3 linked regions of the Astyanax mexicanus genome follow. The protein of the gene in region 2 binds, or shares a complex with, the protein of the main gene of each other region. Links are inferred from orthologs where the notes say so. Each region holds a gene or a part of one and is shown on either strand. Other genes may lie near its edges. The genes, in order: tmem231, mks1 and ahi1.

The links.
Region 1: mks1 (region 2) and tmem231 share a complex: the UniProt entries of both Homo sapiens proteins name them as parts of the tectonic-like complex. The link is inferred for Astyanax mexicanus from reciprocal best matches to the Homo sapiens genes MKS1 and TMEM231.
Region 3: mks1 (region 2) and ahi1 share a complex: the UniProt entries of both Homo sapiens proteins name them as parts of the tectonic-like complex. The link is inferred for Astyanax mexicanus from reciprocal best matches to the Homo sapiens genes MKS1 and AHI1.

The regions. Positions count from the first base shown.
Region 1 is NC_064417.1:10,976,196-10,979,951, reverse strand, and holds the start of tmem231 (transmembrane protein 231), read right to left. Parts: upstream 2,342-3,756; 5' UTR 1,995-2,341; coding exon 1,856-1,994; intron 1,629-1,855; coding exon 1,462-1,628; intron 1,118-1,461; coding exon 989-1,117; intron 525-988; coding exon 381-524; intron 301-380; coding exon 219-300; intron 1-218. UniProt on the Homo sapiens protein: Transmembrane component of the tectonic-like complex, a complex localized at the transition zone of primary cilia and acting as a barrier that prevents diffusion of transmembrane proteins between the cilia and plasma membranes.
Region 2 is NC_064408.1:26,070,639-26,074,394, forward strand, and holds the start of mks1 (Meckel syndrome type 1 protein), read left to right. Parts: upstream 1-1,007; 5' UTR 1,008-1,078; coding exon 1,079-1,263; intron 1,264-3,554; exon of another isoform or gene 3,555-3,580; coding exon of another isoform or gene 3,581-3,627; intron 3,628-3,633; exon of another isoform or gene 3,634-3,756. UniProt on the Homo sapiens protein: Component of the tectonic-like complex, a complex localized at the transition zone of primary cilia and acting as a barrier that prevents diffusion of transmembrane proteins between the cilia and plasma membranes.
Region 3 is NC_064421.1:18,203,743-18,207,498, forward strand, and holds the start of ahi1 (jouberin), read right to left. Parts: upstream 2,881-3,756; 5' UTR 2,772-2,880; intron 2,063-2,771; 5' UTR 2,014-2,062; coding exon 2,004-2,013; intron 1,900-2,003; coding exon 1,775-1,899; intron 1,041-1,774; coding exon 472-1,040; intron 275-471; coding exon 165-274; intron 15-164; coding exon 1-14. UniProt on the Homo sapiens protein: Involved in vesicle trafficking and required for ciliogenesis, formation of primary non-motile cilium, and recruitment of RAB8A to the basal body of primary cilium.

The sequences.
Region 1 (3,756 bases), on a different chromosome or scaffold from region 2:
CTGAAACTGAGTGTAGACATTCTGTGCTATTTATTGTTTGAATAAAATACTTTTGAAGGGCACTGTATAAGCGTCTCAACGGGCATTAAATGTGAGTTACGACTGAACATTTACATTTGAATTAAGGAGAAAAACTGAATTAAGGAGGAATATTTGCTTTGGAAACTATCAATTTACAACACAGACATATACAAATACATATAAACACTTTCTCTTACAGTTTCTTGCTTGATAGGCTCTGATGATGCTGGCCAAGTCATAGGAAGTAGCGAAGGGACTCCCTGTTTCGACCACTGACACCTAAAAAGAAATATAGCACGTAAACACACCTACAAAAAGCATTTAAAAGTGTGGTGTAAAGTATGAACACAAACTCTCACATTGTAGGCAGCATGTAGACCTCTGTGTGGCAGTGGGATCTGTTGGTGGAGCCTCAGGTCCCCATTGATGAACAGCTGTGATCCAGGAACGGAGGAGGAGTGCTGAATAAAGGCCATAGACTGCATCACTACAGTGGACATCCGCTACAAAAAGAGTGACATGAATTCAACCTGACAGTTCCACTTGTTCAATCAAGTGAAAAAAAAAATTGCAAATGCAGTGAGAAAAGCATCAGAAATATGTATGGCACAACAACCCAGTGTTTTGTTTACTAATGTTTGTTGGAGTGTGGAGTGTATTTTTTGATGATTGTTGGTTGGTTCGATGGCAGCTATTGACACCTGATGTTTGTTGCTATGTAATATTGTATGATGCAAACTGATTACATTTGATGGCATTACCTAGTGTCTGCTGGCATTTGTAAGTGTTTTATTATATATTTGGTATTAGAGTTTTTTGTAGAGTTGAGGTGATTTCTGCCATTGGACTGTATTTGGCGTAGGGTGGCATTTGCTTGTGTTTGTGGGATTTTGTTGAATAATTTTGGGACAGTTTGCCCTAAATTAAGGGTTAGGGTGTGTTTTTGTGGTACTGTGCTGATACACACAAACAACTGGTATGAGAAGGTGAGGAGTAGCTGAATGCTGTAAATCTGCTCTTCTGCTTTCAGTGGAACACTGAGCTGGAGACGCAGCCGGTCTGATTTTCCATCCTGATTGCTGTCCTCCTCCTTGACCTGCAAAACACAAACATGTGCTTTTAAACATAATACACTTATTTCATATGCCCACACCCACTGTCAAAAGTTTGTTTCTTCCACCTTTGTACTGTCTATCTAGCTGTGTTAACCGAACACTCCAAAAGCTATTTAGTTATTTGGAGCTACTCAGACCAAAGCTATCTAGTGTTGGTGAGGCACCATAAAAATTATATCCACCGCCTTCCAAAGAAAAGAACCTGTGTTTATGAGTAAATAACATTTTGTTTGTGATGCTCTGGTGAACTCTGGGAACATGTTGTGTGCTAGCTAGTTTGTGGTATTCAAACTTTTGTGTACATTTCTGTGTCTGTAGTACTTACAGACACTGCAGGGATGCGAAGGTTGCTTCCCAGCAGACGGTTAAAGTCAGGAAAAGTGCTCCACGCCACAAATTCTCCTGCTGTTCCAGTGGCTCCAATCATTAACATCTGGTACTGGAACTGCACAACCGGCTGCTCCTCATATGTGCTTCTCTTCAGCCAGAATCCTGCAAACAAAGAAAAAAAACATCAGTTACTGATGAAATGCTGCACTGTATTGGAGGTGTCAGTCAGTAAAGCCATGCACTGTTTAACATGAGCTCCTGGAGTTCATAAGCTAGTCAGCACAGCCAGTATATTAAGTAAGTCCATGAGCAAGTTCACGGGGTTAATATACTAAATTCTTACAGTATACCAGCTGTATTAATGAGGTGCTGCTGTAGTGAACACTTACCTTGGCTCTTGTAGGCGACCAGCAGTGGCGGGATGTACGTAAGACAGAAAACCATCAGCACGAACAGGGTGGCGCGAGTACACACATTGGTTTTATATCTTATTAAAGCAGGGTGGGAGTACACTTCATAAAAAGCCATCACTGAAACCCTCCTCGCTGTTCTGAACTCGCTCTGAAGAACAGTTCTAAACTCGCTCTGAAGAACAGTTAAAACCTACTGAGAAATAACAGTGGGGCTGTTCTGGTTAGCATTGGTTAAGGTTAAGCTGTAATGGAGATGTGTTAAGGTGTGTTGTGTGCTGTAGAATCGGTTTCTCTCGTATTTAATTCGGATTAAATGTACTGTATCTATCAGTTCGGCCGCAGACGTGCAGTGCCTAATTCGGGTTTAAAAGCCATGCTAATGCTAATGCTAACGGTAACTGCTCCTGAAGCGAAGCGTCCCAGCGTTACCATGACCGCCTCCAGGAAACAGAAAGCGAACATCCGCCCACAGTTACCATGGCCACCCACGCCCCACCCCCTCTGTTGTCAAATATATTTATTATTCCACCTCTTAGCAAAAAACTTAAATCATACCAAAATAAAGCTACCATTTAAAACAGATTTATTACTTTTTTTTTTGCAACGTTTTAAAAAAGGTCCCAGGAAGGAACATTACAGATAGTGTTCCAGGAATGTTATTTTAACGTGATGTGCAGGAGAAACACGTACACAAAAGTGTTATATTCTGTATTTAATCACCACAGAACATATAGGTGATTTAAAAATGAACTCTGCCACTGAAAATCAAGCTAAGAAGCTGAAGCCCAAATATGGGCATAACAAAGGCCACAGAATTACCAGTATTTATAACATACTCATTAACCAATAAATAGCCTTAATAGTATATTAGGCCTAATTTTTTTTTTTATGACAATATTTAAAACAATGGTTAGAGACAAACGTCTGGACATAGCTCTCCTGGTTTCTGGTATACTGTGTGTGAAACTGATCTGATTACTGAATTGGACATTTCAGACTATTTGGTCCACTTGATTTCATGACTGATTAGAATGCAAGACAATTATTAATACGATAAATAAAATAAAGGACAATAAAAAAAACATATATACAATGATAATTTACATTTAACAAACATGTCCTAATAAAAGGTTTTCCAGACATATATTCAGAATTATGGTGAACGTACATTATTTTTTTTTTCAATTGCTAAACAATATGAAAAGCCCATATTCAGTTGTAAGGATAAATATAAATGTAAAAAAAAAAAAAACAAGCCTGTAGGCCACCCTCCCACTTATATCAAAGAACACTAACACTAAACCTTATATATATATATATATATATATATATATATATATATATATATATATATATATATATATATATATATATATATATATATATATATATATAATATTGATTATACAACCTTTATCTAACATTGGCTACCTGAATTGAATCAACGTTCACTTAAAGGTTTTAAATGATTAAGGCTCTTTTAACACTTTTCAAGTTAATGCTTTTTAGGATAAAGGTGCTTCCCACAAATAATAAAACTATGTGTTATAATATGAATTATGCGTTAAATGTATATTTCAAGCTTAATATAATACAAACAATATTTACATATTTACAAATCAAAATCTTTGGGGAATGTGGTTGGTCACCGGGTGCAGGATTTAACCCGAGTCCTGTTTCGGCACATCCCCCACAGAGCTGGTTGGTATGACCTGCATGACGTCAGCCGTCCGTCCAGCAGTGCTAAAGCTAATGCTAGTGCTAAGGCTAATGCAGGCGGAGTGTTGACACCGCTGCTGTTTTCAGGATAATCTCCGTTTCTGTCTCTTTCTGCTCGGGTTATTCTTGCAGCTCCTGTACACTGATTCATTGTTTCA
Region 2 (3,756 bases):
ACTCCAAAAAATGAATAGAGGGTAGTAGTTAGTAGTTAGCAGTAAACACGTTTAACTAGCTAAGCTAAATAACATCAGCTAACTACTGTATCTCTATAACGTTAGCTCTCAATGGATTTACCATGGCTAGCTGTCTAGTTAGCCAACGTAGCTAACGTTACCACGTATTCATTCAGTATGAATACGGTTTAGCTGGATAAAACACATCGTTGTTACAAAAACGGTCACCTAAGTTTGTTTTAAATCAGACTCCAAGCCATTTAGTAACTAACTAGCCTAGCCTAGCCAACTCTAACGCTACTGTTACTGAAGCGAAGCTGGTTCAGGGAGAGCCTGCCCACAGCTCCACCGTTATAATCAGAAAATGACCTCAAAACGCTAGAGGGAGCCCGCGAGGAAGACCTCAATGAATGGGAGCGAATGGCGCTAAACGGTTAAAAACTCTAATGTAAAATATTTCCTAACTGCTTTACCGAAGTATTCTGTTACATTTAGAAAGTATACTGACGTGTTTTGCCAAAAAGCTAAATAAAACCTACCTATATATTTCTATGTTTCTCCAGCAAACGGATTTTAAGCAGTAATCACGCTAGCATTACAGCTAATGTGAGCTGATGCTGGACAAGTTATAATAGTGCATCTCAAATAAAAAATAGAATATTAATGAAAAGTTACTTTATTTCAGTAATTCAGTTAAAAATGTGAAACACAGTATTACACACAGAGTGATTATTTTAAGTGTTTATTTCTTTTATTGATGATTATGGCTTACAGCCAGTGGAAAAACAAAAATATAGTACCAATATAAGACCAATTGGTACTTTTGGCCGTGTGGGCAGTGTGCCTGATGGAAAATGAAATCCGTATTTCCGTAAAAGTTGTCAGCAGAGGGAAAAATGAAGTGAGAAAACACTACACTGACTTTGGACTTTGGACACAGTGGACCAACACCAGAAGATAACATGGCTTTCCAGACTATCACTGATTGTGGAAACTTCACTCTAGACCTCAAGCAGCTTGGACTCTGTGTCTCTCCACTCTTCTTCCAGACTCTGATCCCTTGATTTGCTAATGGTCAATGATGGTTTGGAGAGCCATGTCATCTGCTGGTGTTGATCCAATTTGTTATATCAAGTCCAAAGTCAGTGCAGTGTTTTCCTGGAAAATCTTACAACACTTCATTCTTCTCTCTGCTGACAGATGTAATGGAGATGCGGATTTTATTTTCCAGCAGGACGTGGCACACTGCCCACACTGCGAAAGGTACCAATTGGTCTTATATCATATTCTGAGACACTGATTTTTAAGTTTTCATTAGCTGTACACCATAATCATCAACAATAAAATAGAACACTGTGTGTGTAATACATCTATATAATATATGAATTTTACATTTTGAACTGAATTACTAAACTTTTCAATGATATTCATTTTTTTTAGATGAACTAGTATAGCTAGCAAGATACCTGAGTTTAAAAGTCTTAAAATTTAAACTCAGGTATCTTGTACTCAGGTATTTTTGTACTTAACCTCTTCTATTATTTGCACTTCAATATTGTAAGTCGCTTTGGACAAAAGCGTCTGCCAAATGTAATGTAATGTAATGTAATGTAAAATTGGGGTTTAAACATTTTTATGTCTTCGGTACTAAAACATCTGAAGTTCTATGAAAATATAAAACTTATTTATACAAACATTCATAAACTATGATTTTGCTCAAACGCTAAAGGTACCCATTCATTTTTATTTTGGAATCACCCTGGAGCGCCCTCTGGTGTCTGACAAACCCGAAAGAGACCACTGAAGTAGGTAGTCTCCTCTGTAGAGGGTCTCTGACAAAGCAGCATTTAAGCTTTAGCGCACACGCACGTGGAAAGGAGTTCCGGTCACCTTCGCCCAGATCCCCCAATAGGAGCTCTGGTTAATGGGCGCGCCTCGAATCGACTCCTTGCCCCCTACGTAGTGAAAATTCGAACACCCCTTTTTTAGGGTTGGGTGGGCTTTTTTCTAAGGTGGCCGAGTGAAATGACCAGCCCGGTATAATACTATGATAAATAAATAATACTTTATTTATTTATTTATACATACTTTGAGAATAATATTTATTCTTCATTTTATTTTAGCTTTAGTGTTTTGAACACTGGCATGCTGTTTACTAGCAACTGCTTGAAAGCTGGATGTCAGTCAAGATCAGTGACTAATCTAGTGCCCATTATGAACAGAGTACATTGTGTTTAGCTAAATAACCACAAACATCTTTTTTTTTAACCACAAACATCATTAGCTATCTGTGTTTGCATTTATGACTTAAACAGGCTACCTACACTTGTTCCCTAAAAAAGTCAAATTGAGACTTACCCTTTGTTAGAGTTTACGCAAAGAATCTTTAGAGGGGAGAATACCCACTCGAGAATTTGTTACGGCTTTGTCACAGCACCAGAGGGCGCACCTTGACTGAGTCCAAAATGAGTGGATTCTTATGGAGGAATTTAGAAAAATCAGAGTTATAAATGTTACTTTCTATATTTAAAGAAATGCCTTGAATTGGGACTTTTTCACAAATTGATTATTGTGTTTATCAAAACTAGATTGGCTTCCAGTCTATTTTAGGATAGATTTTAAAGTACTGCTATTAGTTTTAAGGCATTACATGGATTGGCACCATCATAAATTACAGATTGTCTATCTCTATATGTTTCAAGTCATTGTTTAAGATCAAGCACTGCAAGTCTGCTTACAGTACCTAAAATTAATAAGAACCAAAAAGTGGGGGGGGGGGGATTATGTTTTTTATGCACCAAAGAAATATAACAGCTTACAAATAGAGATTAGACAGAGTCAGAAAACAGTTTCAAAAAGTATCTGAAGACATATATCTATAATCTTTTATTTTAATAATTGATTTGTTCATTTTATCATATATTATTTTATAGTTTGTATATATATTTTATATCTGCAATCTTTTGCAATCTTACTTTACTTTTTTATTTGCTCTTTTTGTCATTTTACACTGCATTTCTATTTATATATTTTTATTATTGTTTAACGTTGATTTTATTGCATTTTATCTAGTAAATTTTAATTTACTTGTTTCTTTTATTACTTTTCTAAAGTTTTAACCTCTTAGCTCCATTTACATTATTCATTTAGGACTCGCGGGCTCCCTCTAGCGGTTCCTTGTCGTTTAATGCTGCAGCGATTCTGCTTGTTAAATGATCAGGCTCTCTATAAACTGCCTCTTGCCAAAGACTTTTTACAGGCAAGACAGTTCACTTGACCGCCATCTCGCGACGCTTATGATCTTCTCGTGCAAGACCAGCCTCCTATCTGTTTGAATGGGAAGAGACCAAAATACTCTAAATAGAAGGCATAATTACAAGTTTAACATCATATTTTACATTACTGATAAAATTGACAAATATATAATTAAAACAATGTTTAACGTTTTTTACAAAAATGTACAAAAAACGTCTTTTTTCGGTTTGTTATGGCTACTGCGCCTGCGCACAACTCCACACTTAGCACTAGCAGCAAGCTGAGTGGCTCTCATTAGTACAGCGGTGAGTGGTCTGTCTCCTCAATGATAGGATCTCTGCTCTGGTTTACGGCGCAGTACTCAGCCCTACGGTTTGTTTCCAAGCAACAAGACGCTAATGTGAGATTAGCCCGTTAGCTAGTTAGTTAGCGTTGGCTAACCTAGCCCATTTACTAGACTATTTTTCACATGTAAAATAGAGTTCTGTGGACTGAGTGTGT
Region 3 (3,756 bases), on a different chromosome or scaffold from region 2:
GTCCTCAACTACCACTTTAGCCAAAAAAGCAGAAACATGGCCTAAATATTAAACTATAACCATATGCATGGTAAACCTAACTGCGTTAGATACTCTTAAAATTGTAAATACTTCATAAATCTTACAGTTTCACTAGAATGACTGGCAGGTGTTACATGACTTACCATCTTTTCTTTTCTTCTTCTTTTTTCCTTTGGGTTTTGCTGTATCTACGGTGTCTTCTTCTACAGCATCACCTTGAATAGGCTCCTTTATTTTCTCAAATTCAGAATGGCTGTGGTGAAATTTCAATGGAAAAAAAATATATAAAAGCTTTGATAACTGGGTAATGTAAAAACAAAGAATAAGGATCACTTGCATTATATGCAATATTTGCAATATGCTTTAAAACCTAAGGAACAAGATCTTTCTCTCTCACACACACACACACACACACAAACGACTAAAAAACAAATGCTTTCTGTAAATTACCTTTCATCCTCATCACTACCCCTCAGGTTCTTCTTCTTTTTCTTCTTCTTTCCGAGCTCATTGTTTAATACTGAGGTTTCCTGGCTCCTGGGCAACTTTTCATCTTGTCTGTTATGAGTTGTTTTCTTTATAGCCCTCTCCTCATCTTGACTAATCTGTTGCTGATATTCTTTGAGAAGATCATCTTCAGGTTCAGAGCCTGCGTTGTGTCCACTATCTCTGTTTCCGCCTCTGCTCTTCCCTCTTTTACCCTTTCTGTTCTGCCCCCAGTCTGGTTCAACAGTGACTTTTGTTTCAGAGTTTGCAGCATTTCTGTCTGTGTCTACTTCATCCTGAACAAGTGGGTGTGGGGGCAGCTTTCTTTTAGTCTTCTTCTTTCCTGAGGCCAGTGGGGACTTCTCTCCATTTACATTATTGCTGACATTGATCTTCTCTGACACCTCGACCTCCCTGCGTCTGTTCTTAGTGTACCTTGGGCTACCCTGTGTAGGGTCATACGTGTTATTGAGAATGGTCTCATCTTCTTCTGTGGTTTTACTTAAATCCAAGTTTTTGCTCAATGTCTGAAGCTAAAAGGGATTACAAGAACAAATCAAGTTTTAAAATATGACAGAGTAAGATATTGTTGTTTCATGTTTCATGTTTTTTTTCTGCCATTTTTTTAGTCAGCTTTATGAGGTAGTCACCTGGAATGACTTTCAGGTAACAGCTGTGCTGAACTTGTCAAGAGATAATTGCTTGAATTTCTTGCCCTCTTAAAAAGTTTGAGAGCATCAGTTGTGTTGTGAAGATGTAGACTTGGTATATATTAAATAGCCCTATTTGAGTAATGTTTTAATTCATATTATGGCAAGACCTCTCAACTAAGGAAGGAAAAAAAAATACTTTAGAAATACTTTAAAAAATTAAATCCGAAACTTTGAAAGCATCCTCAAATGCACTTGCAAAGACCAATCAAAACATTATGATAAAACTGGCACTCATTAGGACCAATAAGTTCAGTTACCAGCCTCAGAACTGCAGGTTAACAGCACCCCAGATAAGAGCCACCTCAATGCTTCACAGAGTATTTTGGTTTGTTAAACACTTGGAAGTTTACTACATGATTCCTTATGTGTTCATTCATAGTCTGGATGACTTCAGTATTCATTAACATTGTAGGGGAAAAAATAACAAAAAACAGACAAACTTTTAGCTGGTACTTTATTTATCAAGACTGAGAGAAAATAATTGTATTATTATTATTATTTTATTATTATTTCATATTTGATAGCCCTAAACATTCCATAACCACGTAACCTACCACAACATTCTCCTGCAGCTCGACTCCTCGCTGTTTGGACTTCTTTTTCTCTGAGGGAGGGTTTGTGTATCTCTTTAACACCTCGTCAAAACGGGCTCTAGTCTTTGCTCTCACATCACTCTGACCTGTTCATCACAAACAGTATTAGTTGCCCGTCCACATGCAAGGTAATCAGTATATGTTTGGATTGGTATGGTTTGGATGGTAACATTAATTAAAGTGTGATTACCTGCCGGCATCCTCAAGCACTGGGAGCAAAGTCATTCTGTGCACAAAAGATCCCTGAAACTGAAAACATAGGTTAACGTTATTTATCTTAGCTAGTTAAACTGTCAAACAAAGCAGGAGAAGTAACTTAGTTAACCTATCTAGTTTAGCTAGCCGATTATTGGTTCAAATGTAGTTAGCTAGCTAGATTGTTGCTAGCTAACGAGACAGCCAGTGTTTTGAATCCAGAAGAAGCTTTAATTAGCCTTTAGTGAATTCTATTGGCTTAAGCTGGTTAAAATAGCTCGGTACAGGAGTCATGATGTAAGGCAGCTTGCTAGCCTAGCTTAGGTAACCGAGCTAGCTGATCAGCTAACCGCGAAATCAATCTTGTCTGGTGCTGACTTTGCTGAGTTAACGCTAGCTAGCTCTACTGCAGTACCAAACACTAAATAAGCTACACTCATAGAGAAAAAGGGGCCACAGGCCATTTTCAGTTTCTAAACTCCACTCAACAACAGAACTTGCTGTGCCTGGTTTAACATTCCCGGCTATAACGGCGCCCGAGAGGACATTAGCCGCCCCCTGAGAATGAATCTCCGCTCTCTCACTGAAAACACTGTCCCATAGATTAGCAGGACTGCTAGCTGGCTAACGTGTTACTACAGTAGGATACAGCCTAGCCAGTTAATTCCTTAACTAACAGCGACCCCAGTGTAACAGCCCGCCTTTTTTTAGATGGGTCGCGTAGTTAATAAAAGTGTCTGTTGTACAAAACAGGATTATTTACCTGAAAATCAAACCATATCCTATGAAAACGTTTACAGTCCGTTAGCCGCTGACTCGTTGCGATGGCAGCCAACAATAAACAAGTTTTAGCCCCGCCCCTTGTGTGTTGTTACCTCAAAGACAGCCAATAAAAAGCGGAATCAGACTGCGCATTCTGGTGGAACAAACAGACATGCGCAACGTGTCTGACTCTCACCAGCCAGCGTTAGAGCATCTAAAAGTGTATCTAAAAATAATTGAATATCATTGAAAAAAGTAACTTTATTTCAGTAATTCAGTTTAAAATGTGAAACTCATGTATTATACAGATGTATTACACAGAGAGTGACATATTTTATGCGTTTATTTATTTTATTGTTGATGATTATGGCGTACAGCCAATAAAAACCCAGAAATCAGTGCCTCTGAATTTTTTTAAATTATATAAGACTAATTGATACTTTTTGCCCTGTGGTCAGTGTGTCAGGTCCTGCTGGAAAATGATATCCGCATCTCCATAACAGCTGTCAGAGGGAGAGTGAAGCAGAGGGAAAAAACACATAACACAGTGGACCAACAACAGCAGATGACACCTCTCCAAACCTTCACTCAGTGTGGATTCACACTAGACCTTAAGCAGCTTAGACTGTGCACGTCTCCACTCTTCCTCCAGACTCTGGTCCCTTGATTTCCAAATAAAATGCAGAATTTACTGTTGATCTGTGATGGTTTGGAGAGCCATGTCATTTGCTGGTGTTGGTCCACTGTGTTATATCAAGTCCAAAGTCAGTGCAGCTTCTACAAGGAGATCCGTGATGCAGATTTAATTTTACACTTTTAAATTTACACTGTTTTTGAGGGTTTTATTGGCTGTAAGCCATAATCATCAACAATATAAGAAATAAATGCTTAAAATATATCACTCTGTGTGTAAGACATCTAAATAATATACGAGTTTCACATTTTAAACTGGATTACTGAAATAAATTAACTTTTTAATGATTATC